Linked DNA regions of Tamandua tetradactyla. The protein of the gene in region 4 purifies or fractionates together with the protein of the main gene of each other region. This does not show direct contact. Links are inferred from orthologs where the notes say so. Each region holds a gene or a part of one and is shown on either strand. Other genes may lie near its edges. The genes, in order: EXOSC1, EXOSC2, EXOSC3 and EXOSC10.

Region 1 (7,229 bases), on a different chromosome or scaffold from region 4:
GGCATTCCATTAACCTGTACAAACCAACAAGATCTCATGCCCTATTCAAGAGTCCATGTAGTTATGGTGTTCAAATAAACTGACCATACAAGTTAAATTAGGTAAGCTGTGTGATATATATACATATATATTTTGGGTACATGGTACAGGATTTGAACCCAGGTCTCCCACATGAAAGGTGAGCATTCTACCACTGAACCAACCATGCACCCACTGCATGATATTTTAATCACTGTTTCTCCAGTTATTTTCAGAGCAACATTTAAATTTGCTGCTGGAGCAACTGATAAAGAGAAGAACTAAAAGGTACAAGTTAATTTTCCCTGGCAGAGTATGGGGATGGGCATAGAATATTACATGTACAGCATTAATTTGTACTTCTGAAATACCCTAAAAGACTTTAAATTTACAGACATGCTAGAAAATAGACTAGCCCTTTGTTTCTCTGCAGAAAAAGGTCTCACTTTCAGATGTTCAAAAATAGGCCTCCCTATACCTATGGCACTCCTGTTTCCCCGACACAGGTACTACATGCTCAGGGAACTGGCACAATGAAATAACTACAAATGCTTGAAACTGGCTATCTTGGTCATTATCCTAGAACCCTGTAGATAGCAAAAAATTCAATAAAACATTCTGTGATGACAGAAATGTTCCGTACTGACCAATATAGCAGCCACTAGTTCATGTGGCTTGTGCAACTGAGGAACAAAATTTTAAATTTTATTTAATTTTAATTTATTTAAACTTAAATACCCATATATAGCTAATGGCTACCATATCAGTCAGCACAGATCTAGAATGATCATGATTTCAGCACTGGACAGGTATCATAAACAAGGAGATAAAGACCAACTTACCTTACAGGTTACAACAGCCCCCACATCTGGCAGTAATTGAGACTCTGTCTCTCTCACCACAGACACCACAGGAAGCTACAAAAAGAGCAATTAAAAAACGGTATACCGACTAAGCCTTGGATAAAAGTATTCATGGCTTAAAGTAATAAAGAAATGCCTTGGTCCAGAGAGGTTAAAAGGGCAAATGAACTATGGATTTTTTTTTAGCCCATAGCAGAGTATCTGAGAAATAACAGGAGGACCAAGAGGCCATGGGAAGAATAATGCCAGAAGACATAATTTAACTATTTCAGAGAAGTTTTAATATGTTTTGGTGATATTCTTGAAATTTAGTTCTACAACCATATTGCCTACAATTGCTGATAACTTGCCTCGTTTTTCCAAAGTTATACCAAGTCTTAATGTAGTTTATTGCACAAGGCTAAATTTCCAAAACAATGTTTTCTAATAGTAGCCATACTTGTTTTCTTCTATGTTAAGAAATTACTTATAGAATTTTTTCTTTGAGCCTGGTATTGGCTGTTGCTGTAAGATAGATATTTTTGAGCCTCATCTTTAATCATTCTCTTCTTTGCCAACTATGCTTCAGCTCTCCTGACCTTCTTTTAATTTTCCCAACTCACTGAATTTCCTCCCATCTCAGGATCTCTATTTAACCTGCTCCTTCTGCCAGGAATGCACTCTCCCCACCTACCCAACCCTTATTCTTCAGCTTAAATGTCGCTTCTGCTGACTAGGGTGGCTTTCCTGTTACATGTTCTCACGGTGCCACGTAATGTTCATTTGTGCATTTAGTTCTTTATGATTTGTTTCTCTACCCCTTGCCAGCAGAGACCATGTGTATTTAGTTCATTATTACATCATCAGAGGTCAGCACAGCACCTGGAATATGAAAACGTTCAACAGACATCTACAGAATGAACTTAGGAACGTTAAGAACAGCCTCCCAATTGAAAATGAATAAAAAATTTCTCATTTTACAGATAAGAAAGAACCTAAAGCCAGTGAGTTTAAGTTTCTTACTCAAGGCGGAATCAAAGTCTAGTTAAGTGTTCTAATTCTGAATTCTTTCTACCGTGGCACCTGCCTTTAAGTTGTTCCTTCAAAGACTGCTAATCCTGGATCAGTCTCTGGAACTAGGGAGGACAGTATTACTCACTCAATAAATATTTAATGAGCGTCTATCGTGTGCTAGGTGCTGAGTGTACAACAATGAGGCCTGCTTTCATGGAACTTAAGAGTCTAATGGGAAACACATAAGTGAGTGTTTAATTAATCGCTGAGATGAATGCTTGGAAGTAAAGTTCTCTGAGAATGTTTAGCAACACAAACAAAAAACAAACACCAAAAACGCCTTTCCTCAACTATTGGATCGGGAGGGTTTTTATGAGAAAGTGATGCTATCTGAAGGATAAGCAGATATTAAGTAGACCAAGAGGTAGAGGAGAGTGTTCCAGACAGATGCGAATGTAAGAAGGCTCTGTGGCAAGTTAAGAGTACAGCGCATTAGCGACAATGAAAGAAGCTGGTGTGTCTGGATTGCGGCGAGGTGAAGAGTGGAGGGAAATGAAGCAGCGGGGATTACAGATGGAAGAAAATCAGAGACTAACTCTCAAACGTTTTACTGGCCAGGCACTAAACAGGTGTTCGCAGCGCCCCTGCCTAAGCGCATGAAAATCAAGAGAAGCCCAAGGAAAAGAAGGAGACAGAAGAGATGGGAAGCGGAGCCTTTACCGCGCCGTTTTCGCTGCTCTTCGTCATGCAGCCGGCAAGGGAGGAGAAAATGTAGCCGTGACGGGTGTAGGTGCCGCTGCCCGGGCTTCCTTCCTCCAAATTGCACAGCCGTTCGCCTGCAGATAAAACACTGCATCAATTTCGGGGCCCCCAAATGTGCTGGCCGTCCAGCATCCTTGCCTCTGTCCCCATTCAGGACTTTGCGGGCACTGCTCGCTTACCAGGGACGCAGTACCTCACGGGCGGCGCCATGACTAACCCCTTCCGAAAGCCCGGATGAAAATGAGGCCAACTCCTCATTGGACTGGCCGAGGTGCAGTGCCGCAGTAACAAGCGCGTCAATTGGAGAGCTTCATCGGGCGCTCTCTGGAAGCGACTCCTCGAGGGTTAACTCCATTTCCCAGCCTGCCCCGGGACAAGTAGGGCCGAAACTCCCGGGATTTTGCGCTTGCGCTTGTGGTTCAGGATGGGCTGGCGGTGGGTCTGGGTCCTCTGGCTGGCTCTGCGCGTGGCGGGCCATGGTGGGTCGTGCTGAGCCGGGCTCGGCCGGGGTGCCGAGCTGGAGGGTGTGGTAGTAAGTGGTGGCGAAAGCTGCAGGACTCGATTTCGCTGATTGGGCAGCTGGCAGGTAAGAGCAAAGCCGCAGTCCTTGCTCCCTACTTCAGTCCTTTTTCTAGGGTCGGGCCCTATCCCGGGATAGTTCTCCATCTACGTAAGCCCGGGTTCGTGCTCTTTCGCCACGCTCTGTGTGCAGGCCATTCCGGGCGGAACAGGACCAGGTCCTTGACCAATCCAACGCACCCATTTCACGGATTTGGAAACTAATCCGGAAAAGGATTTGATTTGTGCAGTCTCGAAGATAGTTCAAGGTAGAGTTCAAACTGGAACCCACGTTTTTGTTTTGCTTTGTTTTGATTTACTTCCAGTTCATCGGGCTTTGACCACGAGCCCTCTTTGAGAAGTAAAACCTTTTCCCTGTTTGTGAAACTGCAGCTTCAGATCCTGCAGTAGGATTCCCTCAAGAGGAGCTGTAGTCATTTGAGTCCGTCCTTAGCTTTTGATGAGCATCCCCATGATAAAGTTGCTACTTTTCCCTCTTTGCATCGTGTTAGCCCGTAAAGGAAATCTTGTACATGAATAAAATGCTGTTTTACTGATGCTCACTATGTGCTGCTTGAGATCGCAGTCCTCATGAGAGCAGTATTTGTCCAGAAGAGGTTTGCCACGACTTTCATCTCAGTTTCCTTTGCCTCCTTGTGGTGTTGCAATCTGTTTCTTCTTATCTCCCACCCCTACCCCTCTCCCCCACGTAAATGGTGACTTAGAGCCTTAGAAAAAGAAACCCGGAGTGATGAGTGGCCTGCAGTCCCCTCTAATCGGATGGCAAATCCCACTATAGCCTGTGGCTACTACCGAGGGATCAGAGTGTTCAGGGCTTTGTGCTTGGAGGTGATAGTGAAACGACAGTGTTCTCTTTCTTTTCCCACATTCACTCGGAGATCACCACCCCTTACCCCAGCTTTTGAGTGCCCCCTTACCTCAATTTCCTGAGATGAAAATGCCGTATGTTCAGTTATGTCCCATGAACTGCATCTCTCTTCCATGTCATCCCCATCCCCTCTATATCCTACTAGCTAAAGTAAGGGGGTAGGGGGCTAGCTTCAGACCTTATTTACCCAAACCTGATCTGTAGCTATGCATCTACAAACTTTCTATTTACATATTTGAGTTTATTTCAGTTGGACTTATTTTTAAAAATGCCTTCTAGGTCTTAAGTACTATGATTCTAATAACGGTTTCTGTTTCTGTCTTTGATCAGAAAGAATGATAGTGGCAGACACTCAATGTTGTCACGTTGGTAGGAGTGTCTTTGCTGGTATTTGTAGGTCAGATAGGCATGTGATCAGCCTTTCTACTTCTGTATCCCATAACCAGGTGTTCTAGGTCATTCATTCATTCACCAAGTATTTATTGAGCACTTCCATGAGATAGGTATTGTGCTAACCACTTTCATTTCATTTATACCTTACCATATATATATCCAGACTAGGTTAGATATGGAAGGGACTTTAGCATTTAGTCCTACTTTCTCGTTGTGTGCGAACAGAAGGACATTGAGTCCCAGCAAGGATCAGTGATTTGCCCAAGGTCACAAGTGATGCTTAGGGGCAGAGGTGAACCCGGTAAAGAATGAATCTGATTTGCAAGCTACTGCTATAAAAAGTATTTTAGCAAATAGAAAACTCTCCATTAGCCATAGTTAGGGAATAAACAATGGTGTGGACAATCCAAAAGTCACCAGAAATTGTTGTGGGGTAGTCTGTTTACTCTCACTGTTGTATTTGATTGTGGCTGTTATTTTGAAAATTCATTCTTTAAGCGAAATCATGGTTCCAAACAATGGTAGTTCAACTGAATGAAGGTAGGAAAGTTGAGCTTTTCCTTTTTCTCTTTTCTATATGCCATCCCACATGCCTTAATACTCTTAGCTTCCTAGGAGGTAATGGGAATGGCCAGTTTCTTTATCCTGGTGCAGTGTGGGTCCCTATTCAAATGTCTTTCTTCACTTGCTCCGTAGGCCTAGTTTGTTGAGGTTTTTTTGTTTGTTTTTGTTTTTTGCCTTAGGTAGTTGCAGGGCTTGTGGATAGAGGTAATGAAATGTTCTCTTTGAAGGACCTTTTGTGGGGATGAGCCAGGGTTCAAGGAAAATATAGTGCTCCAGTTACTGAATTGAAACCATCCCTAGAGTGGAGCAGCCTCCTCCAATTTCTGCTGGGTTTTTAGCTGCCTGTTAAATAAGTCAGTGCAGTTGCTAAGGACAAACAAAGCAGCCTTCCAAGGCCACCCTAGGAGAAAGTTTCTTTTCTGGTAAAGAACTTCTAATCTGCAGAATTGATGAGACTGTCATTTTAAGAACCTGCCAGAGCACTGTGTTCTATTCTGGGGATCGGCTGGGCAGCCAACCCTTTTTCCATTGCTGTTGAATGAGTTAGAAACAACGTAAAGGAGATGGAAAGCACTTGTAGAGCAGCTGTGGAAAGTGCTAAAGAGCTGGGAAGGCTGGGGACAAGTTTGAAGCCAAGGGCAGCAGCTATAGAGAAGGCTTTTGTGTCCAACTTGAACAAGGCAGAGGAGACTTATCACTCAGAGGGCAGGCTCTGTGATTGTCCTGAGCTGCCAACATGGGGGCCCCTTCTAAGTACCAGTGTTTCCTGCCTCTAGTGCTATTCTGCCCTAAATACCTGAAGTTGTCTTCCCTTCTGTATCCTTGTAGTGGTTCTGGGACTAGAATTGAAGACAAGGCATCTTATATCATGCAAGGGATGGCTGAGCTGAAGTGACAGGCAGACAGAGAATCTCATGCTGTTAGGCTGAGTTGGCTGGCCTGAGGGAATGGGAAGGAGTACCTTTGTCAGGACCCACGGCATCAGGGAAGATCTAGGTGTAGGATCCCTTTGCCATGTGCTCACTCCCCGACTTAGAGGAGCTTGCTGTTCCTTGGTGAAGAACAACCTTTAGCAGGTAGGTTGATGAGTCAGGTTAGCCTGTTAGACCCTGGGCTGCCTGTTATAATGGCCAGGCCCACAGAAACACATGGATATTTTTGTACACACTCCACCCACTGGTCTGTCTACATAGATCATTCCAAGGATCCTGCTTTACCTTGGAGCTGCCTACCTGTCCTTCACCCCTTTGCTGTGGTCCTTTACCCTAGATGTTCATTACCTTGGATTTCTGTGCACCCAAGTGGTGGAATGTAAATGGAATTTCTAGACTCATAACCTCCAGTTCCTATTTCATGTAATCTGTTGGGGACATTGGCATTGTACATTCACCTGGTCACTGGCCTAGCTGGGCTCGATATTAGGTCTTTGCCCTCTTAAACTGGTACTCTGGATTCCCCACTGGCAAGGATAGGGAAGGAGAGGAACCAGACTTGATACTCACAATAGTGTGTTTTCCTAGAAGTCATGCGGAGCCAGAGGAGCCTGCTGCTAGGCCCAGCCCGTCTCTGCTTGCGCCTGCTTCTGCTCCTGGGCTATAGGCGCCGCTGCCCACCTCTGTTGCGGGGTCTGGTGCAGCGCTGGCGCTATGGCAAGGTCTGCCTGCGCTCCCTGCTCTACAACTCCTTTGGGGGCAGCGACACTGCTATCGATGCTGCCTTTGAGCCCATCTACTGGCTGGTGGACAACGTGATCCGCTGGTTTGGGGTGGTGAGTGATGCCCAGGGAGCAGGAAAAGGGATGTTTTGGGATAGGAAAGGGATATGTCTCTGATGGACCTCCACTAGGTTTTGGAAGCCAGCTCCCTACCCTTCAGGATATTCCTGAGTCTCTGCTGGGTGTTGGCAAGGCTCCTTTACTGGTTCTACCTGACCCACATCTTCAGACTTCCTTGGTATTGGCAGGTGTTCGTGGTGCTGGTGATCATATTGACCAGTTCCATTGTGGCCATCGCCTACCTATGTGTCCTTCCCCTCATTCTCCAAACCTACTCAGTGCCACGACTCTGCTGGCATTTCTTCTATAGTCACTGGAATCTGGTGCTGATTGTCTTCCATTACTACCAGGCCATCACCACTCCACCTGGATACCCACCCCAGGTCAGTTCCCATAAGGGCATGGGGGGAGGGGG
Region 2 (6,937 bases), about 160 Mb from region 4:
CTATATATATAAAATCTTGTTAATTATTCTTAAATCACTTTCTGCAAATAGTTCATTCAGCCTGAAATCCCTATTCTGTTAGATTACATGACAATAAAAAACACAGAAAATTTTCCTGTGGGCTCTGGAACAAAGATGGGTTTAGTACCAGTCAAAAGAGGAGAAATGAGATTCTGAGACAGAATGCCCCCCAAATAGGTCTCCTCGCTGTCTCCCCCTGGGAGGGAAGCTACTGGCTGCTCCATCTCAGGTCCCTTTGCAAGTACTTCATCGCTTTAATTCTAACTATGAAGTGTTCCAGTACTGAAAGCTCAGACTTGGACCTCATCTCTTTTCAGTTAACCACTCATCTCTCAGTGTGTCCACTCAATCTAATGGCTTTAGACACCATTGATAACTGTATCATTACCCTGAACTCCAGGTTCTATTTAACTGCTACCTAACCAACAACCCCATTTAGATTATGAATAGGCACTCCCAAATGTAACAAGCCCAAACTATTTAACGGCTACCTACCCAACAACCCCATTTAGATTATGAATAGGCACTCCCAATGTAACAAGCCCAAAAATAAGCTTCATGCCACTCCCTTCCACTCCCAGAAACGTGCACCTCTCCCAGCTGTCCCCAGTTCAGTAAATGGCAACTCCATCCCCCAGGTGCTCAGGCTAAAATTTGGAGAGTCAGCCTTGATTATTCCCTAATTCTCAAATTGCATGAGTAGCCCAGCAGTAAATCCTGCCAGCTCTACCTCCAAAATATATGCAGAATCAAATACCCCTACTTCCACTGTATCAGCACTTTGGACTGCAAAGCAGTCCTCTAATCCATTTCCCTATGTCTGCCCCGATTCCCACAGCAGTCAGTGATTTTACTAAAACAGTTAAAAAATTAAAAAAAAAACCAACCACAGATTGTGTCCTTCTTCTGCTTCATTCTCTCCAGTGGCTTCCCAGATTTCACAAAGTAGAAGCCAAAATGCTCACAAAGGCCTTCAAGGCAGGCCAGATTATCCACCCACCTCAGCTCTGTGTCTGTATCTGTTCTTTCTCTCCCCCTCTGCTCACTCTATTCTAACCCCACTGACATCCTTCTAGGACCAACATTTACCGAGCCCTTCTAGGCACTTAGCACAGGGCTAAGTGCATCATTTCACTAGATTCTGATGAAATTTGTACAAGGTAGATGATACTATTCTCCTCATCTTGCAGAGGAAGTAACCAAAGCTTGGAGAAGTTAAGTAATGTGGGGAAACCTTTGCAGCCCACATTTACCTTTACCACCATTCCTATAGTCATGTGGAAAGCTTCAGATCCCCCAGAATGATCGGACAGATGGGGGCAGGTAGAGGGGGGAAATCTGGTCATGCAACATGGATGCAGTAAGAAAGAGAATACACACCTTTTGTTCTCACCTGGTTTTCAAAGCTTTCACACAGATCAACTTGTTAACTCTCTCTACAGAACCAGCCACAGATGCTATGAGCTTCTCTTCCCCCATATAAGTTCCATGACCCCTGTGGCAAGACACAGATATATAGGATACCAGGGTAACATCTGAGACGACCTCTCCCCTCAAAAACGTGTTCTTCAAACCAAAAAGGCTCCTCCCACATTAAAGCCTGGCTTTTGCACTGGCTGCTCTCCCAGCCGGGAACCTGGAATATTCCTCCTCCAGACAGCTACACGGACATCTCCCTCATCTTCTTCAAGTTTGCTCAAATGTCACTTTCCTCATCAGGCCTACCTTATGTGTCCCATTTAAAATTGCAAACCATCCTGATCCCACCACCCTCACCAGACTCCCAATCCCATTCCACTTACTCTGCTCAACTTTTTATTTTTTCCCCTGAAATGATCACCAAACATTCTGCACAATTTCTTTGTTTTGCTTATTGTTTATTATCTGACTCTCCCTGTTAGAATATAAACTCCACCAGGACAGAGGTTTTCATTTTGTTCACTGTTGTATACAAACCACACATAATATATGCTGAATGCATGAATGAAGGAATGAATCTTTAGATTTCCTAGGATCCTAAAACATCACACTAAAAGGTTAAAGGACAATGCTGTAAAAGCCGTAGTTCTCACGTATGTAATAGCACATGTGTACCAAATTTTTAAATGGCTGAAGCATCACTAAAAGGTTTATATTATCTGTGGTAGTGGTGGGATAATGGTGGTTTCTGACTCCTTTCTTTACATTATATCATTGGATCCTCACTACCCCATCAGATAGTTACTGTTGTTACTATTTTACAGAAAAGTAAACTGATCTTTCCGCTAAGAATAGGGAGAGGACTGGAACCCGAACTGCCTCGGGAATCTGCTCCTTAACTAGAACCCATTAAACTGCCCTTAGACTCAAAGTTCGTGTATTTTGTTTGCTCTAAGCCCAAACAATTACTGACTCCAAAACTGAACCTCTGGCCCCGAGATGAACCTAAGTGAGAAAGAGGCCAAATCAGGAAAGCCCCCTGTTCCCTCAAACAGCTGAAAACCGGAAAGAGGCCCCTGCTCCTAACCCTCCTCGGTTTTTCAGGACTCCAACGAAGAAAGCTCAGAGACCTGGCCTCAGGCAGAGGACACGGGCGTCACGGGTACCAGAAGTCAGGAGAGGAGGGTTTCGGGAGTCTGAGACAGGTGCCGAAGGGGACACAAAAGATGCAGGGGATCCCAAGCCAGAGGCCTTGGAAAACTGGCGAATGGGATGCGCTGAAGTTGTGCCCTGGGTTCCGGGAGACTTAGACGCACCGGACAGAGGCCCAGGTTTCGGCCCATCAGGCCACGTGCAGAGAGCCCTGGAGCTGCTTGCTGGGGCCCAAGGCCCCCGCGTCCCCACTTACCGCATGAAGCCCGTGTCCGTAGTGATCGTGTCCCCCGGCACCACCAGGTGTTTCTTAGTCTCGCGGCCCAGATTCTCGCTAAGAGGTTTACGAGGAACAGGAAGCCTCATTTCCAGCGCCATATTGGCGCCAAGTACCAGAAGCCGCGATATCCGGCGCCGCAGTTCCCTAGCTCCAGGGGCGGAGGAACAGCGCGGGGCGGGGCCTCGGGGCATCCACCAATGGGATCCCGCGGGCGGGCGGCCATGTTGGCTATTGGCAGCCGCTGGGTTAACTTTAGGGGAAAGCCGCAGCCAAGTTGTCGTATTTGTTATATTGTCAAGGCTTCCCCCCGTGAAATGACAGTATAAAAATCTCACTTTGCGTGACGCCTGACATTTTACCAAAACTGTCTCATACTCATCATCCTATTTATTGCTTACGAGGATTGGAAGTATTTGGAAAAATGGACCTCTGAGTTTCCTTTCAACTCTAAGCCTTTATGTGTCTCAGTGTGCGAGTGAAAGAGAGGGAGAGTGTACAAGCGAGCGAAATCAGGAGGATGGGAAGGTGGGATCAACAGAAAACATTTCTTTACATAGAAAGAAGAGCCCCTTTTCACACCTTTCCTACTAACTCCAGTATTCTGCATCACCACCGCCGGATGCATGCTGGTTCAATACCGACCGTCTTCTATATCCGGAAACAGAGCTCCAGGTCCATGCTGGTTCTGTCCTTTCATAATAATTTATTTTGAGTGAGAGGAGATGATTTTGAAAAAGAAAAAAGCTATCCAAGAAAACTTTGCAAGGCAGGCATATCTGGCAAGGAGAACAAATGCACACACAGTACAAAAAGAAAATCACTTGCATTTTTTCATACAGCAAATCGAGCACTGTGTGCCCAACTGTTCTAAGGATTGAGTGAGAACCGAGGTGTTTGTGGCTTTACCTCCAGGTCCTGTAGGAGCCTCTCCCTGGTGTCTTCTCCTGGGTTTCACTTCCCTGTCCCTGACTTGCCCTGGATGGTTTATAGCATTTACAGCAAACAGTCTCATCCTTAGGGAACTGGAGATGACAATTTTTCATACATACACAGTTGTGCTCAGTAAATCAGGCCGGCTGCCTCCTAAAGATCAGTCAGACCAATTGTTTTATAAATCGCTGAAAGGATAGCACTTCTTTCACCCAAGCAATGCTCAGAACTACACTTGTAAAGAAAGCCAGGCCTGTGAGGCAACCTGATACAAATTTGAGTGATCCACTGGTCATCTGGCAAGTAGGCAGACCTGACCCTCACCCTTCTCTCTGCCTTGAGGAAGGCACTAGAGAGGAAGAGAGTGCAAAAATAACCCATCTGGTATAAGTAAAATATATGCATTAAAAATATATAATAGGGGGAACAAATGTCAAAATTAAAAAATAAAATGGGTAGATGGAAATACTAGTGGTCAATGAGATGGAAGGGTAAGGGGTATGATGTGTATGAGTTTTCTTTTTTCTTTTTATTTCTTTTTCTGGAGTGATGCAAATGTTCTAAAAATGATCATGGTGATGAATATACAACTATGTGATGATATTGTGAGCCACTGATTGTACACCATGTATGAAATGTTTGTACATTAAGAATTCATGTGCTTGTACGTTGTTTTATCAATAAAAATTTAAAAAAATAAAAAATAAAAGTAATTAGATTATACCTGAATAAATTCTGATATAAATAAATAAATAAAAAGTGTTAATAAAAATAAAAATGACCCATCTGTTGAGTCTCACCATGGCCATATGGTGGCAGTGGTGCCCTGTGAGCCAGCACAGCCCAGGCAGTGAGGAGACAAGCCCTCCCATCCCTCCACAATGCTGGCAACCAAGGAGTGAGTTAAAGTACTTACATCATCCTGTTTCATTCCAGGAAGGAAGGACATACCCTAAACCCCTCCCATTCTCACAGTATTTGCAGTTGGTCAAGCTTGTCACAACATTGGAATTATGGATACCTTTTTTATTGGTGAGGAAACTGAAATGACTAGAATTCGCACAGCAAATGGTGGCAGGCCACTGAGGTAGAGCTTGCATTTATCAAACACTTCCCAATGGCCTGGTCCTTTGCTAGGTGTTTTATACTTGCTTCTTTCCTACCATGTAGAGAGATGAGTACCCAGAAACTTTGTTGCACACCCCTGAGGGATGTGATAAAGATACAGATTCCTGGACCCAGATTCAGGCATCGAGGCTCTTCAAGGGTAGGGTCCACAAGTCTGTGAGGGTGGTTTTTTTGCAAAGATTTTTTGTTTGTTTGTATTTTGGGGTGCATGGTCTAGGAATCGAACCCGGTTCTCCCGCATGAAAGGTGGGCATTCTGACACTGAACTATCCGTGTACCCCTTGTGAGGGTGTATTTTAACTCCCTGAGTGATTTATAGTTGATCAGATTTAACATTCGCCAATTTCCCCCAATGTCCATCTACCTCCCCATCTGTGCAGCTTCACGGCCACAGCCCCAGACTAATCGATATTACCTCTCACTTGAGTGACTGTAATAACCCCCTCAGTTGCCTCCCTAATTCTATATTTACCTGGCCTCACCTCCCCTATGGTCCGTTCTCCATACAGTAGCCAGAGTGATCTTTTTAAAACAGAGATCTGATTAAATCATTTCCAGGCTGAAACACTTCTGGCAGCTTCCTTGTAGACTAAAAATAAAATTCAGATTCATCACTGGGGAGCACTGAGGCTCTGTAGGACCTGGCTCCTGCCTGGCTTGGATCTCACTCGCCATCTAATCCACTCCCTTTACTGGCTACGATGAAGCTGGCTGCACTGGGCCTCCTCTCTATTCCACACACCCCAGTATCAGTACATTTTTAACTCTCTGCACAGAATTCTCCTCTTCTCCCAGGTCTTTGTGTGGTTGGCTCCTTCTCCTCAATCAGATCTCAGCTCAAACAGCACCCCCTCAAAGAAGCCTTCCCTGACCACTTTATCTGGAATAGCCCTCTGGTCCTTTCTTTTTTAATCATTTGAGCTGTTTTATTTCTTGGTCGTTGAGTTTTCCTGTTTATTTCTTTGGTTGTTTGCTGTGAGGGCCTCCCCTAGAGCACACGTGCTCTAAGAACAAGACTTTATCTGTTTTGGACAACTTATATGAACACTTGGAACCATGTCAGGCAAACAGAAGGCACCCATAAAATATTTGTTGATAAAAATGATACATTTACAAAATATACATTTCCCTGTTTGTTTGCTTATCATCTGTGCACCGCCCCCGACACACAAACAGGATGTGAGCTCCACAAATGCCCAGACTTTGTCTGCTTTGTTCATCGCTGTATCCTCAGCCCCAAGAACTATATACTTGACACAAAGAAGACCCTCAATAAATATTTGTTGAATGAACAAATGAACTTATTCAGCAAACACCTGCCAAGCACCCACTGTGCAGCAAGCATGGCACCCGGCACGGTGGGGTTTACAGAGATGTATCATTGCTGCCCCAGCTCTCCACATGCTCAGGAGTTCAGAGATGAGGGTGGGAGCGAAGGAACAGAAAAGCCTTCCTGACAGAGTGAGTGAGCCTTGACATGAGGGAACTGCTGAGCCTGACAAGCTGGGTGAGAAGACATGTGAACTTCAAGTGAAGGAAACGAATGGGGAAACGTGAAAATAGAGGCAGCGGAGACTGTTGCAAGAGCTCTTGCCACAATCCTTATCCACCCACTGGCTTCCTCCTCGTGTTCCATTAAAATGATAACAGTAACAGGACAAATGTTCTAATCAGATATATGCACAAAGATTTCTGCACAAAAAGGCTCACTGCAGTATTGCTTCTCCTAAAAACAATAGAAACAGCCATATTGTTTATGGAGGTTGTTAAACATGCCCATGAGTTTGTAGACATCTCTTCAGTCAAGAATTTGGATCTATTGCTAATTGCCATGGTTTGCTAAACCCCAACCACCATCACTCCTATTGACTCTTAAGAACACCCAGGGCTCAAATTGATACTCTATAAAGGTTTCATGTGCGAAGTTTGCTTTCCTGGAACCTATAATTCCTGGAAGGTTCCTAAATCAGATAAATCCTGAAATCCAGAGGGACCAGCTTCTGCAAG
Region 3 (7,192 bases), about 160 Mb from region 4:
TTTGCAACCACAAATTGGCCATAGATGAGATCTCCAACCTACAATGATAAATAATAACAGTTCACTTCATCATAGCAAACCATTTACTAGATACTGCTGTTAGTTCTTTCCTAGAAGCAGCAATGCCAACCACTTCTAGTCTGTGTCTAAGAAACTGACTACACTCCAGGATCCAGTGCTCTGGAGTTGATGAAGACAGAATTAGCATGTGTACTTCTTCCTTTACCCCTCAGGAAATTCCCAGACTGGAAGCCATCTCAAGGCCAGAGAACACTCTAAGGTTTCATGTCCAATATGATAGCCACTAGCTAACTGTGGCTAATTAAGCCTATTTAAATTAAAATTAAATAAAATTTAAAATTCAGTTCCTTGGCTGCATTAGCCACATTATAATGCTCAATAGCCACATGTGGCTAATGGCTACCGTATTTGTCATCATAGACAGAGAACATGAGCATCATCACAAAGTTTTATTAGCTAGCCCTGCTCTAGGAGATTCTGGAAAATTTATGACTAGAGAAAGGAACTCCTAGCATGCAAATTATTTAAGCAAAATAGCAGGAGCAATTCACTGGTACTTCTTCAGGCAAGGTTTATTTAAAACTTTAACTGAACTTCAAAATGATGAAACTAAAGAAATGACAAGTGAGCTTATTTTGTTCTCTCAATAAAACACTTAAGTACCTGCTATATGGTGGTGACTATGGAGCCAGGGATGAACAAAACATTCTTTTCCCTTCAGAAGCATATGGTCTTAGAGGGCAGTGAGATGTATACATAAACCACAAACTTCATTCAAGGCTGAATCCATTAAGTACAAGAGCAGTTAGAAGAAAAATGACTGACGATTAGGGATAGCTTCATAGAGGTGGTGGTGTTTGGCCTGGGATTCAAAGGATAAGCCTGTGTTCTTAGGTTGAGAAGGAGATAGAACAATCCAGACAGAACAGCATGATCAAAGGTGCAAGGGCGGTTAATTACTTAACGAGTTTAGTGGTACTGTTAAATAATTTGGTGTGGCTCAAACTGTATGGAGGATATAATTATGGATGAGGCAAGATCCTTAGAGTGTCATCCCAAGAAATTCTGTAAGCCTTGAAGAACTATTTATGTTTTGAGAAAGGGAGTGTGTGAGAAAGACAGCTCTGAAAAGCTTGGATGGACAGACAAAAATGCGGAGGCAGGTATGTTAATGAGGAGGTCATGGACCAAGTCTAGTCAAAAGTTAGCTAAGGCCTGAACTTGCAAACTGGAGATAAAGGGGTAGAATGTGGAAGATGAGACAGAATAAAAAAAGATTACGCAACTGAAAACATGACAGGTGAGTAAAAAGGGACAAAGAAACCACCAAATTTCTGGCTTGGATAGAAAAGGGAAAATGTGGCTATACTGCCTGAAAAGCCCAAAGTGAAAAGTTGAGTTAACAAGACTGCTTCTGTGTCAGCTCCAGGAGATTGCTGGGAAACAGTGAGATGCCAGTCCCAGGCCCTACATAACGGGGATGGATGGATATGAAAATTTATACCACTTGTCCCTCCTCCCTCCCTGAGCCTATGGCTGACTTCCTTGTCAGTGCCCATAATAACGAAGATAACAGATACAGCCATTCAACTCAGCAGAGATGGAACAATCCTCCAATGAATGTAGCAAACATATAAACGTATGTGACTTTGGTCCAGGAGCTGAAGCATGTAAAGGAACTCTGTGAGCCTGGGGTGATTACACAGATGTTTCCCCTACAGAGTAGGGAAAATAGGTCATACTTTGAAGACAATTCTGGTAGCATTCTGGATATTTCACATTCTAAGGAATGGATATTTTCTTATTTTTTGAAACCAAAGGCCCCCATCATTACCTGCACATTTGGTCTATTTCTTTTGGTTGCACCTTCAAATGCCAAATAAGACAAAGAAGCTGGTTCACTCCCTCCAACATCAACTTTGAATATATCTCCAGATTTAGCTGTCACTATCCCAATCACATGGTCTCCTTTCACTGGGACATACTACAAAAGAAAACAACAGGAGAACAGCCATAAATGACAATCATTTCCAAGACATCCTGAAAATTCTCTACATCACGACCTTAGTGGTTACTTTAATATATTTGTTATTCAAGAGATGTTTAGAAAATATTTTTGAAATTCAAATTATTTACACAAAATTTACAAAAAATTGATAATATTCAGTAAAAGAGAAACAATCACATCTTAAATCCTCAGGTTTGCAGCTTGTGACAGTCTGTAGATTCGAGCCAGCATCCACTCCCGGAATCCCCTAGGTTCTAACCTGACTCTAGACTGCTCTCAACAGAGGCGCCTCCCCAGGGCTCCCTCCCTGTTCGTTCTAAGGCAGGGACACCACTCTCGCGGCCGCACCGTCCCTCCGGAGCCCCACCTCACCCGCTTCTGTTGCGAGTCCACCCAATAAACGCCGCCGCCGCCGCCGCCGCTGCCACCGCTCGACTCCTTGTGACGAAGACGGCCGCACTTGGTAACCATTAGGCGGTCGCCACAGCGTCGCAAACCCGGGCCGCACACCACGCGCACCCGCGAACGAGCCCCAGAATTCAGGCGCAGCGGTCTCTCCCCTGCACCGCCAGGGCCTTCTGCTTCCTCTTGCTCCGGAAGAAGCAGCTCTTCACCCGGGAGCACCAGCTGATCTAGCACTGTAAGCGCCACCCGCGCCCTGGAGAGTGTAGGGGATTCAGCCGTTATCGCCGTCGCCTCAGCCATCGCGGGCAAACTTTCACTTCCGGCTGCGCGTCCAATATCCAGCCCCCCAGGGCTTTCCGTTTCCGGCGGTGTGGTGTGGGCGTTGGAGTCGGGTCTAAATCTGAGACGCCTAACCGCTGTGAGCCCGCCGTTCCCCAAAAGCGGCTGTGATTTTGTCTCTAGTTGGCCGCCTATGTTGCAGTCTGTCCGCGGGTGCGTATGAAAACTCAGTCTGAATCTTACGAAGCCGTCACTTCCCTGTGCATACGCGTTTTGTGGCCGGTCGCACCGTGGGATACAAGATGCTCCCACGTATGGGCCGTAGGAACCCTGGGAACTGAGCAGAGAGCTTCGGGAGTTGGTCTTTTGGGTGAGTTCATAGTCCTTCCTGCCCCTCACCGTACCACCCCCGCTCCCAGAATGGTGGCTGACTTTTTACCAGGAAGTCTTTTCTTTGTCAAAATAAAGCCTTTTTGATTGTTGCTAGAGAAAAGAATAAAAATGGAAAATAAGCATAATGATCTCGCCCATGCTTGTCTCACTTGCTAGGCTCTCTTTGAATCCTTGTAACCTTGATTCCTTTTCGTCTGGCACGAAATAGATAATAGCTGATGAATGAATGTTAGCATTTTAGTGTATATTTCTCCCTAACTTTTTTTTCCCTGTAAATATACAGGTTATATACACATCTTCACAGTTGAGCTACCCCTGCATGACCTGAGGAAATCAGTGGCTATATTTAAATCCCTGTGGTTACTTTCCCTTGAGTCATTTTTTGTTGCTCTTGAGAGAAGCAGCTAAATTGTAAATCCATAGTACTTCGGGGCTCCTGATCTTATGACTTCTAGGGATCTTGCTTGAAATCGCCATTTTCTCTGTCAACTGGCGCGTTCTATTGGTTTTTAGTCAGATTCCTCAGCAGTGGCGAGAGCCCCTGAGGATTAAGAGGGCGTAGCCCTGACCGATGGCTTTTAGCTGCCCTTCATTTCTGATGTTCAGATGTGTGAGGTATTCGCTTCTCAGAGCGAATGGTAGATTTTTAGGATGTTTAAGACATCACCTGTAACATCCTCCAAACCTGGCGAGATGCTGGCGAGCCACTTTCCTTGGATGTAATAAGAGGCCGACTGAAATGTAATTTTGTTTTGAATCATATTGTTGTAAGAACTGTCCTTGGTTGTTTCCCTGACAGATGTGAGAGGTCCCGGGGTAAGGATCGTGTAGATTCGGCTTCTCTCCGTCCCTCTCCAGTCCAGCAGCAGAGGTCCTGGAAGCAGTAGGTGTTCAGTGATCAAGCTGACCCAAGGCCACGCACGGAGGGTGCTCAATGACATTAGGCCCAGATGAGGCACAAAGGGACCCAGGAAATATTCCTCAAACTGTTTTTCATGCACCCTATGTTGGTAGTGGGATGCCTGGAAGAAATTCGGTACAAAGCTGGCTGAGGAGCCCAATCAAATGCAGTGGCCTGGGGGAATGCCATTTGGCAATTCAAAGGAAACAAATGAAGTAGTTGAGGCCCCGAGGAACACAGTCCGGTGGAGGCAGCAAATCCAGGGCCTGGAGGGGTCGGGTCAACCACGCGTCCAGGGCGTCGCCCACCCACTGCCGGCCCGGACGGGGCGGGGCCCATGAGGCTGGGCGCCAGCTACGCCTCACACCGCCTGGTGGGTTCTTCGTTGCTTCGCCGTCCTGCGGCCGCCGGCGAGTGAGAGCGCACGGCGTCCCTTCAGGGACCAGGGCAGGGGCTTAGCCTCGCGCAGGTGGGAAACGGAAGCTGCGAAATGTACGGCGCCCAGCTCTAAACCACCGCCGCAAACTCGGCGGCTCGCGGATCTTAACATGGGGTAGCAATTACGAAGCTCGTGTTTCGAAGCTTGGTTTCCTGGTTGTAGCCTCGGAGACTGGGTGAAGGCAGAGCAGGCCTCAGTCCTCGCGCAGTCGGCCCGCGTGCTTCGGGGCGTCGAGGCCAGACTGCGCCCGCGGCGGCGCGCCTGAGTTTCCTGGCGGGACCCCCCCACCCGGTGTATCAGGCCCCCTTCTCGGTTGGGGAACCCGGGTTTGTAGCCAGTGCGGAAGAGGCGGTGCTGCCACGTGTGCCTCCTGGCGCACACCTCGCCATTTTTGAGTATTTCTCTCGGGGATATTGCCCTTCGGAAAGGTTGGAGCTGACTGCGGCCTTCTGGACTCTCCCTGAACGACTCTAGAAACCTGTTACTTTGGAAGATTGAAAAGCTGCATCTTAAGGTAGCTTTTCTTTGTTGACCGGTAAGGTTTTTTTTTTCGTTTCAGTTAGCATCTGCTCTGGACCAGCTGGGGAATCAATTGAATCATGGTTCCTATTCTAGGAAAGGTCATTGTTGACACATGATAATACCGGAGTGTTTTGTTGACTTGTATAAGTACTGACTAGGGTGTCAACCGCGACAGTGCATACCTGGCACTCGAGTGAGCTTTTGAAATGTTTTACTGGTTTCTGAAAATTACAAATGAAATACACGCTGAAATTAATAGTAAAATATCCATGGGAGTATTACTGTATTTTTTCAATTCCAGGATTTAATCCAAAAGCATAAATGCTCCCAGTTAACACAGCACAAATGACAAGTCTCCTTGTGACATGTTTTTAATCACAATGAACCATAACTTCTTAAACATAGCACTTATTTGGAGAAAGTAAAACATAAGACCACCTGTTTTTTTTTTCCTTACCACATTTTGTGTTAACAGTTCTACAAAATACATATGGCCTGGTGTCCCCTACCCCCAATCTGAATTACATGCTGCTATAAGCTACATTCTTTCTTATTTGGAATGGCATTTAAGTTTTGTCTTGGCATATCATAATATAACACCAATTACAAATACTTAAAACTACGTGATTTTCTGGTTTTCAACAGCTTTGCCATTTATCTGCATTTCTAAAATAAGGAAACATCTTTCTGGCTCATATTTTTATTTTGTAATGTGTGTGTCATGTCGTGCTTTGTTAGTCATTTTATATTCCTTTTGACAAATTAAAACAATTTTGAAAAAAATTTTTCAAAATGAAACATTGAGGAAGTGGATAAAATTAGTCTCTTTGCAACCTCATTTCTCTCTACTTCCCTAGAAATAACTGCAGTTAACAGTAAGTATTGTGGGTTTGAAAGGATTATGTGCCCTAGTCAAGCCCTAGTTTTAATCCTGATGCATCTTCTAAAGCAACCATTTCTTTTAATTCCTAATTCAGCAGTATAGGTTGGAAAATGGATTAAATTATCTCCACAGAGGTGTGGTTCGCCAAGTTATGAGTATTAACCTTGATTGGATGGAGATGTGACTCCACCCATCCCAGGTGGGTTTTGATTAGTTTACTGGAGTCCTTTAAAAGAGGAAAGCATTTTGGTAAACACTTGAGAGCCACAGGAGCCATGAGAAACACAGGAGCCCATGCAGCTAGAGACCTTTGGAGATGAAGAAGGGAAACGCTCTTAGGGGAGCTTCATGAAACAAGACACCTGGAGAGAAAGCTAGCACATGTTGCCATATTCACCATATGCCTTTCCAGCTGAGAGAAAGAGAAACCCTGAACTCTGTCGGCCTTTCTTGAGTGAAGATAACCTCTTGATGGTACCTTAATTTGGACATTTTTACAGACTGGCACAGTCTTAGAATTGAAACTTGTAACTTAATAAATTCCATCTTTTAAAAACTGTTCTGTTTCCAGTATATCGCATTCCATAGCTACTAAACTAGAACAGTTGTGTATCCATACATTGACTTAACTTCTCTGTGCCTCAATTTCCTCAGTGATATAATAGTGATAATACCACTTACCTCTAAGAAGAGTGAGGAAGGGGAGGGGAAAGAGCAAGGAGGACAGAATAACAAAAGCATGAGGCCTTTTATAAATTTTGGTAGGACATCTGGACTGTATCTCATAAGCATTTGGAAGCAACACATTTTGCTATGTAAGAAAACCTCAATTCCAAAACCACATCAGAGAAAATTCTGTCAGAATCAGCCTAAGAGATGGGTCTTCCCGTTCCTCCTTTCTCAATCTTTTCCAACACCTTGACCACTGTTCTTGGGCCTTTTCACAGCCTTCTAACTGGTCACCCTCTTCACTTCTCATCCTTTGTTCCTTTCTCCCTTAGCTGCTGCTCATCTTAGATTCTACCTCTGACCATGTCATTCTCTTTACTTTGAAACTCCCATGCCTTGCCCCTCTGCCTTCAGAAGCAAGTCCAAATTCTGCGTGGGAATTATCAGGAAATAAGATAAACCTCATAGGAGAGCAAGAAGTAACTAGAATCCAAAGAGATGATCAAGGAAGCAAGCAGTTTCACCTACCACAACTCCTTAGGTACCAAAAGTAGATGAGAGGTCTACTTAAGTAGACACACACTAAGTGGATCACATTAAGACATTTATTACTCTTAGCACAGCAAACAGTAGGAGCATCAGCATGTAGCACTTAAGTCCCATGGAGTGAAT
Region 4 (7,867 bases):
AAATAATTAAAAACACCCCAGAAAGCATATATTAATTACAGAAGTATTTAGAATGAGGATGATGGTTGTCTTGATCTACTTTGTGCTATCAAAGCAGATGTGGACTATGAGTTTGGGCACCACAAATGAAAATGCACCAGATGATGGATCAGCAGTGACAGAACCTGAAATCACAAAATACAAAAAATAGCTGCAAGATCTGTGGACATTTAAACTATAGAAGATAGTTTTCATGGGACAGGAGAGCATAATTTCATATAGAAGATAGATTTCATGGGACAGGAGAGCATAATTTAAACATCTCCAGTATCATCCCATGGCTAAAGGTTAGATTTATTTTAGACAATCTCCGTGTATTTCTGTAAATAACATTCTGCTGTAGAATTGGGCATAAACAGATGGCAAGCTAGTCTGAATGATTAATATCTTCTTCCAATCCTGAGAGTCAAGGTAACGATAAGGTTTTCAATAACAAAGTAAAAATGATTAAATTTTTATTGGGTTGATAGAGAGGCTGCTTCTCTTGTAATACAAAGGTGGATTTTTAATCAGCACCTTAAAAGAGGCCTCTATGGGGCAGTAATAATTTGAAGTTATTCATACTTAGTTTTGTATAAAAAGAAACCACTGGTCAAAGGAAGGGAATGTTATTACCAGTAAGAAATTGTATATTTATTTCCTTATTTTCTAAGGTACTTGGATTGCTCTTTATTTTTAATCAGACAAAAACTCTTTGTTTGTTAGTTATCATAAGAATAAGAGAATACTCACCACTCTTTCCAGGATGACGTCATTAGCATCAACTAGGAGATCAAACTTATCCTCCAATTCAGTCACTTTGCTTCGATCCTTAATGCTGCTACGGCACCCATGGTACTGCATTACTCTGCTCATGCTGAGGGAGGGACACCCAGGTAAATGTGTGTACATTTATTTATTTGTTCACCATCTGGAAGAAAGCTCAAATGGCTTGGCTCAGGCTGTTCCCAATGCCTTTTCTTCAAATTAATAAAATCTGTACCGTTATGACAGTCTTCAAAGAAACAGCCAGTTGTGTGGCTTTGGGCAATTCCCTAAATTTAGCTAAGACTTACTTTCCTCATCTGTTAACCGAAGGGGCAGAAGAAATTTCTGATTTCTTTAAATTCCAAAAAAAGTATGATAGTATGTAAATAAATGTACATTACATTTACTTCATTCTTTTAACATGGCAAGTCTAAAGCAGTTTCTCCAACTCTTGTCATGCAAAGGGTAAACAAAATTAACGTTTGTACATTAACTGTCCTAATGTACTAGGTAGAAAGTTAATATGTGTGACTCTGCAAGTCATGGGACTAAGAAACCTGGATCTAAGTTTTCAAGGCCCATATTAATTCAGTTAAGCTCTGTTATGTATAAGTGCAAAAGTCAATACATTTTTTAAAAATTAAACTCAAAATTTACCAAATAACAATTTCCTAGTCCTCTTGGCTATTTTTTCACATTTTGTAGCACTTTATAAGCATGGAAGATTATGGTAAGGAAAAACAAATTTCAGGAAAAATCTACCTCTTTATTTTCATTTCTTTTATTAACTTGGGGAAAGAATGTATGGTACTTACCACTGAAGCAATCTGTCTCCCTGTGTTTCACAAAATGCCTGGAAGCCAGGAAAACTTCGGTAAAAATCATACTCATCACCAAACTGTGGTAGGCCCCCAGATGCCTTGGTAACTGCCACCACTGACCCAAGAGCAAACTGTCAAAAACCAGAAAAGAAGGCGTTTTAAACACAGATCCCCATCCACTTGGCAATCATGTCTTGAAGATCTACAACACATGGTACCTTATGTTAGATGCTAAAGATAGCCAATCTTCATCTCTCCAACAGATCTCCATTTAATACTGACTCTACTCTTTAGTCTACTAGGCCTTGAGGAGACAAGGCTGAACACAAAACCAAGGTTCGGACCATACATCTTGAAGAGTGGGGAGAGACAGAACAAATGGAAAATATGAAAAAAAATGAGACAGGAGGTGGAAAACGAGTCAACGTGGGGTATGTGGTGACTTGTGAGTGTGAACTCCACATGATCAAGACCTCAGTTAGTGGTCTGCGAGCTACTCAAGGCCAAACAAATAAAATTAATAAAAGTATCTACTACTAGTACATTAGATAATATGAATGGAATGGGGGGGTTAAGTAATATTAACTTCAAATTATGTTTCATGGCTGCATAAGAGGCATGCATGACGTGTTTAAACCTAGTTTTATTTTGCTCATCTTTAAGCTGCATTACACAAATAATTTAAATGGACCCTCTCTGTTCCTTCCAGGAGTTTCCAATCTATTCTGAGATATTGATAATTAGAAGAAAGACACTCGACGATAGCTGTATCTGGGCTTTGGGGATTACGTAGGGCTGGACGTCAGAAGAGGGAAGAAAGATCCCGCCGGTCGTGGGAAGGGGGGCCGCCGGGCAGACGTGGGAGGTGTAAAGCAGTCAAGTTCCCTCGGAGAGTTCGCCGGATGGTTCAGGCACGGGCGGGGGCGAGGTCGCCGAGGGCTGGAGACATCAGGGTGACGAGAGAGTTTTCCCCAAGGTGTGGAGAACGCTCTGCACAGTAAGGGCTGCAAGGCCTCAACTCGGGGAACGAGGGCTCTGGGAAATGGAGCGTCCCTCCGTTTCCTTGTCCGGGGCCCCATCTCCGGAGGAAGACACCCAAGAGACTCTGCCCAGCGAGGGGAGAGGCCCCTTGACCCGCCCTGGAGGCTCCGCTGCGGGACGCGCGCGTTGCCTGCCGCCTACAGGACCTGGGCCTGCTTCCGTCCGGCCTTGATCTGCTCCCGGTGCCTCCGAGGACTTACGAACTCACCTTCACGAAGCTGTCGGAGTCGGGGAAGCCGGGCAGCACCATCTCCTCGTCGGACTTGGTCGCGGTTGTCGCCGGCGGGGACCTAGGATCTCGGGGACTGGGAGGCGCCATGTTTGCGGACTTTACGGCGCTTCTCGCGAGAGTGTCACGCGCCAACGCGACGTGTACGCCGGACGCATGTGCAGAGGGGAGAGGGCCAGAGGGGTTTCAGTTGGGTGAATAACCCTGAACGCCCACCCCGAGAACTTAAAAATTTCCTTTAATTTCATATTGCATCCTCCTAACGATCCTCTGGTTTAGCGAGGGAATCGGCGGACCCAGTCATCTCCTGTGTAAAGCTAACACCTTCCAGGCCCTGGATCCATGCCCCTCTCCACTTAAGATCTTGGCCACAGTCATTATCCCCGCCATCTGGCATCGTCATCTCTCCCCTCGCTCCTGGTTCATTCCTAACAACACAGCCCTAAGCTGAAATCTCTCCCAACTAAGAAAGGGAAGACACCGAGCCCCCACCTTCCAGGCCCTGCCATATTTCTCTTACCTTTTTTGTAGGAAAACTTCTGGAAAGAGTTTTACGCTACCGCTGTACTTCCTAGCCTGCAAACGTGCTTTTGAACCGTTTCGATTAGACATTCTTCTCGTGCATCCCACTGGAACCTGTCTTGTTAAGGCATACGATGCAACTCAGCAAAGACTTGTTATGAGGCAGGCACCGCTTTGCTAGGTAGCTGGGGAATGGGGGAAAATGGATTCCCGGAAGCCCTGTGGAGTGAATTGCGTCTATGTGCACAGAGCAGAGGTGGTGTACCCTTAATAGATCTCATTTGACTCAGTCAGTGTTCAATAAATGTTAGCAATTATGGTAATTCAGGATATCCTATCAATAGGACACTTGTTTTTCACTTTTTCTTTCCTAGTTGTGTACTTCAGGTACACAAGCACCCTGAAAGAAGAAATGCTTAGTTCATTTTAATGACTGATATTTTTGAACACTTATTTCATAACACAACATTCAGGCTGTGTGCTAAATGCTCCACATGGATTATCTCATCCTCACCCAAACCTTAAGAGGTAGAGGTAGTATTAACCAGGTTTTCAGATGAGGAAACAGCACTGGTTCAAAGTCACACAGTATGAAGTGGAGTTGAGATTTGAAACTAAATAATTCGATGCTGCAGCCTTGACTCTTGAAAACTACTTTATAGTAGTTTTTATTTTAATTTTTATTGACAAAACAACACAACATACAAACATGAACATTTTTAACCTGTGAATATTCCATTCTTGGTGTATAATCAATGACTCACAATATCATCACGTATTTGTGTATCACCATGATCATTTCTAAGATTTCTTAGAACATCTGCATCACTCCAGAAGAAATAAAAAGAAAAAATAAAAAACTCATACATACCAGACCTTTTACCCGCCTCTCATTGGCCTCTAGTATTTCCATCTACACAATATATTTTAACCTTTGTTCCCATTTTTTTCTATACCCCTTACCACTACCTTTCATTGATCACTAGTATTTCAATCTATTGATAGTAGTTTTAACCCTAGGAACGGAAGGATCTGGAAAGTCATTCTTTGCACACCCCTTTCTTCACACAGGGTTACACAAAACCATTCAGGATTGATGGGTTAATTAGACTGTCTTTAAAGACCTCCAGTAGCTCTTCACCTGTCTCTGATAATTCACTTCAAAACCAGAAGGTTTTGCTTAGAAATCACTTAAAACCCATTGGATTCACCAAAGATCTTAATCCCAATGACTCTCAAACCCTGAGTATGTCTCTACCACTCATGGCCACCATTTTCCTGAGTTCACCCATCCCCATACCCTTTAATTTTCGTAAAAGGTAACATCACTGTAGTCATTGCTAGTTACTTCATCTCAAACCGAGGAGGTCAGAACAAATCAGACTTGGTTTAGGACTCTTCTAGAAAATTTCAAAAAAGAATGAGACTTCCTCACTGTGAATATTGAAAACGTTATTAGTATCACTATTGAAATTTGAATGTATCTTTGTCTTTAAAAGAAAAGTCCTCCAACAAATTGTCTAGGGCTAGGTTTTCTCTCAGATTTTGTGGGTGCAATGACACCTATGATGTGGTTCCTGACCTTGTGATTCTCAGGCTCCCCATAATACAAGTTCCTTGAACAATTTTTATACAAAACAGTGTTTCTCACTGAGTAGTTGTGGACAACAGAAATTTAGAGAAAAAATTTCACTTAAACAATGTCATGGTTAGGGAAAGGTATCAACTTGGCCAAGTTGTGGTACCTGTTCATCTGATTGGGCAAGCGCTGGCCTGTCTGTTGCAATGAGGACATTTCATAGGATTAGGTCATGATCACGTCAGCTACATCCACAGCTGATTCCATTTGTAATCAGCCAAAGTGGAGTGTCTTCTGCAATTAGTGATGCTAAATCCAATCATGGGAAGCCTTTTAAGGAGGACTCAGAGGAGACAGGTTGCATTCCTGCTTTGGCTGGTGAGCCTCTCCTGTGGAGTTCATCCAGGCCATCCATTGGGGTCATCGGCTTCGCAGCCTGCCCTGTGGATTTTGGACTCTGTGTTCCTATGGTCACGTGAGACACTTTCATAAATTTTATATTTGCAAGTGTTCCCTGTTGGTTCTGTTTCTCTAGAGAACCCTAACTAATACAAACAACTAAAAAATAAATTTCTTGGAAGAACTTCTCTTTAGGTATGCTCTTCAGAGGGAATCTATAAGTAATTACCTGATCCATTTAATGTTCTCTCCTCCCCAGCATTGCAACACCCTCTTTACTGGGCCTTCTGGCTTCTAATTTTCTTTACATCCATTTGTCACTACTTGCCTTTTTCAAAATACTATTAGGATTCTCTTCCTGTTTTAAAAATTTATACGGGGGTGGAGTGCAAGGGTATTTCAGTGGTAGAATTCTTGCTTGCCATGCAGGAGACCTGGGTTCGATTCCCGGCCCGTGTACTTCCCAAAGCAACAAAGAGAAAAAACAAACAAAAAATTCATCAAATAATGCTACAATCATGGGCTATTCACATGGAAAAAGAATGAAATGTGATCCCTGCCATATAGTACACACACAAAATCAGCTAGTTCCCTGTTGTTGACAGCTTCAAGCCCAAACTCCTTGTCATTGAGTTTTTCTCCACTGACCCCTGAAGCCACACCTGCTGAACTATGAGGACCAACCATATGAAATTGCCATTTTTGTATATAAAAACTGGTTGAATACCTGCAGATTCATATGGTTTAAGCTAATACTTGCCATTCCTGCACAATATTGTGCATTCATGGCTTGATGACTTGCGCTTTCTTTTCTATTGAGGAAAGCTCTCACTCATTCTTCCAGACCATCCATGAGACTTTCCTGGCTAACCCGGTGGAGTGAGTGAGCCCTCCGTGGCTCACACTCTGTTCACGGCTCTTCTCACCACTTAGCTAGCAGTGGAGTTATCCATTTATTTCCTGTTAGGCCGTCTCCACCTTCTCTGGCCTGTAGACATGCTGAGCAAAGGGACCACGTCATGTATACCCATGTCATTTGTTATCCTTGTACTAAGTGCTTAATGAATGCTGAATGTGAAGGAATAAATGCTTTTTTTTTTTTGAACTCTCTATTAGGAATAAAAAGCTACCCATATGTGTGTTTTAAAATTCTGATGTAATTTATTGGCACAAAAAGTATCAGATACATGGTGTCTAGACATGGCTATACTTTATACTTTGTGCATTTAGTTTAATATTTATTTTGTTCATAATTCCCAACCTGTACTAGACCTTCCCTCTGTGTTCAGCACCTCCATGACAGTATTTCTGTTTTTCAAGCCTTTGCTCTAAACAGAGTATACAGAACTCACTGAAAACATCCAAGATCCAGGCCAAGGAAGGCGGATTTGGGTCACCCCATTGCACCATGATCCCCACCCTGCGTTTGCTTGGCAGAACTGTCTAGCAATAGCAATAAAGTCCCCTCTTAGCAGCTCAGGTCTTGGTTTGAAGTGTGTAATTTGCGGCGTCACTGGGTCAAGCAGAAGACAGACCCTTTTCACCCATTTTGGCCCATTTTGCAAATGCTGTTGATGATGTTGTGGTTGTTGTTGTCCACGGACCAGTGAAATCATGGGATGGGAGGAAGTGATGAAGTCTGCTCCTCTTGATTTGTTATAGTCCAGAATCCTCCTATGTTTCCTCCATGACCTAAAGCTTCCTGACAGCACTAAGTCTGCTGTATTGGGTTGAGAGGAATGAGTAGGCCATTTTTCTACCAGTAAATGCATATGATGAGTTCTCTTGTGAGTTAAGTCAAAACCCGTATTTCTAAAATTATGGATCTTCTGTTCCCCAAAATCAATGGCTTGATTTATGTGGCAACACTGTTTTACAATCCTGGGAACGAAATCAAGCCTTGTGTTTCCGACAATATATTCTTCAACAGCAGCTAGAAAGTTGGTTCAAACCAACTCTTAATATACAGTAGTTATTTTTTCATTTACATTTCAAAATATTTAATAAAGTCAAACTTTTTGACCATAGTTTCAGTTTAGTGGAAGCATACATATACCAAAGTACAAAAGCCTCACAAGAAACACTGTGGGCGTGTCTGGGCCTCCAGTTACCAGAAAGGACACCTAGGAAGACAGACAGAAAAAGGAATATTTTAATCATAAGAGCTTCTTCAAAGCTTTACACAGATACAAGGAAAACAAAAAGATCAAGGTCTGATAATCCTCAGGACACTCCCTGAGATTTCCCACAACTAACTGTGTGAGGCATACTCATCGCTTCCAGGCCAGTGCTGATGCCTACTGAGGTCCCAGGGGACACGTCCCCTTTACCCTCTCTTCAAGCATGCCTCGGGCAAGTAATCAAAGCGGAGCCCCGAGTGGTCCTTGAGGTTACAATCCCAGATCATAAATTTGTCTTTTCGTCTCCTTCTATCACTGCTCTGGCTTCTTTTCCATTACCCTTCCTGTATCGGAACTGACAGCAAAAATC

The links.
Region 1: the proteins of EXOSC10 (region 4) and EXOSC1 purify together in Homo sapiens (co-immunoprecipitation; 8 studies listed by BioGRID and IntAct, counting the BioPlex papers as one, with this or other methods). This does not show direct contact. The link is inferred for Tamandua tetradactyla from reciprocal best matches to the Homo sapiens genes EXOSC10 and EXOSC1.
Region 2: the proteins of EXOSC10 (region 4) and EXOSC2 fractionate together in Homo sapiens (co-fractionation; 9 studies listed by BioGRID and IntAct, with this or other methods). This does not show direct contact. The link is inferred for Tamandua tetradactyla from reciprocal best matches to the Homo sapiens genes EXOSC10 and EXOSC2.
Region 3: the proteins of EXOSC10 (region 4) and EXOSC3 purify together in Homo sapiens (affinity purification with mass spectrometry; 8 studies listed by BioGRID and IntAct, counting the BioPlex papers as one, with this or other methods). This does not show direct contact. The link is inferred for Tamandua tetradactyla from reciprocal best matches to the Homo sapiens genes EXOSC10 and EXOSC3.

The regions. Positions count from the first base shown.
Region 1 is NC_135339.1:58,766,492-58,773,720, forward strand, and holds the start of EXOSC1 (exosome complex component CSL4), read right to left. Parts: upstream 3,013-7,229; 5' UTR 2,895-3,012; coding exon 2,816-2,894; exon of another isoform or gene 2,711-2,815; coding exon 2,595-2,710; exon of another isoform or gene 1,752-2,594; intron 936-1,751; coding exon 861-935; intron 1-860. Other genes in the region: palmitoyltransferase ZDHHC16, read left to right, coding at 6,566-6,808, 7,003-7,197. UniProt on the Homo sapiens protein: Non-catalytic component of the RNA exosome complex which has 3'->5' exoribonuclease activity and participates in a multitude of cellular RNA processing and degradation events.
Region 2 is NC_135328.1:53,593,852-53,600,788, reverse strand, and holds the start of EXOSC2 (exosome complex component RRP4), read right to left. Parts: upstream 3,021-6,937; 5' UTR 2,971-3,020; coding exon 2,849-2,970; intron 1,517-2,848; coding exon 1,415-1,516; intron 1-1,414. UniProt on the Homo sapiens protein: Non-catalytic component of the RNA exosome complex which has 3'->5' exoribonuclease activity and participates in a multitude of cellular RNA processing and degradation events.
Region 3 is NC_135328.1:57,303,569-57,310,760, reverse strand, and holds the start of EXOSC3 (exosome complex component RRP40), read right to left. Parts: upstream 3,011-7,192; 5' UTR 2,735-3,010; coding exon 2,402-2,734; exon of another isoform or gene 2,174-2,401; intron 2,006-2,173; coding exon 1,856-2,005; intron 39-1,855; coding exon 1-38. UniProt on the Homo sapiens protein: Non-catalytic component of the RNA exosome complex which has 3'->5' exoribonuclease activity and participates in a multitude of cellular RNA processing and degradation events.
Region 4 is NC_135328.1:214,318,005-214,325,871, reverse strand, and holds the start of EXOSC10 (exosome complex component 10), read right to left. Parts: upstream 3,016-7,867; 5' UTR 2,968-3,015; coding exon 2,857-2,967; intron 1,739-2,856; coding exon 1,602-1,738; intron 896-1,601; coding exon 772-895; intron 1-771. Other genes in the region: serine/threonine-protein kinase mTOR, read right to left, coding at 7,485-7,500. UniProt on the Homo sapiens protein: Catalytic component of the RNA exosome complex which has 3'->5' exoribonuclease activity and participates in a multitude of cellular RNA processing and degradation events.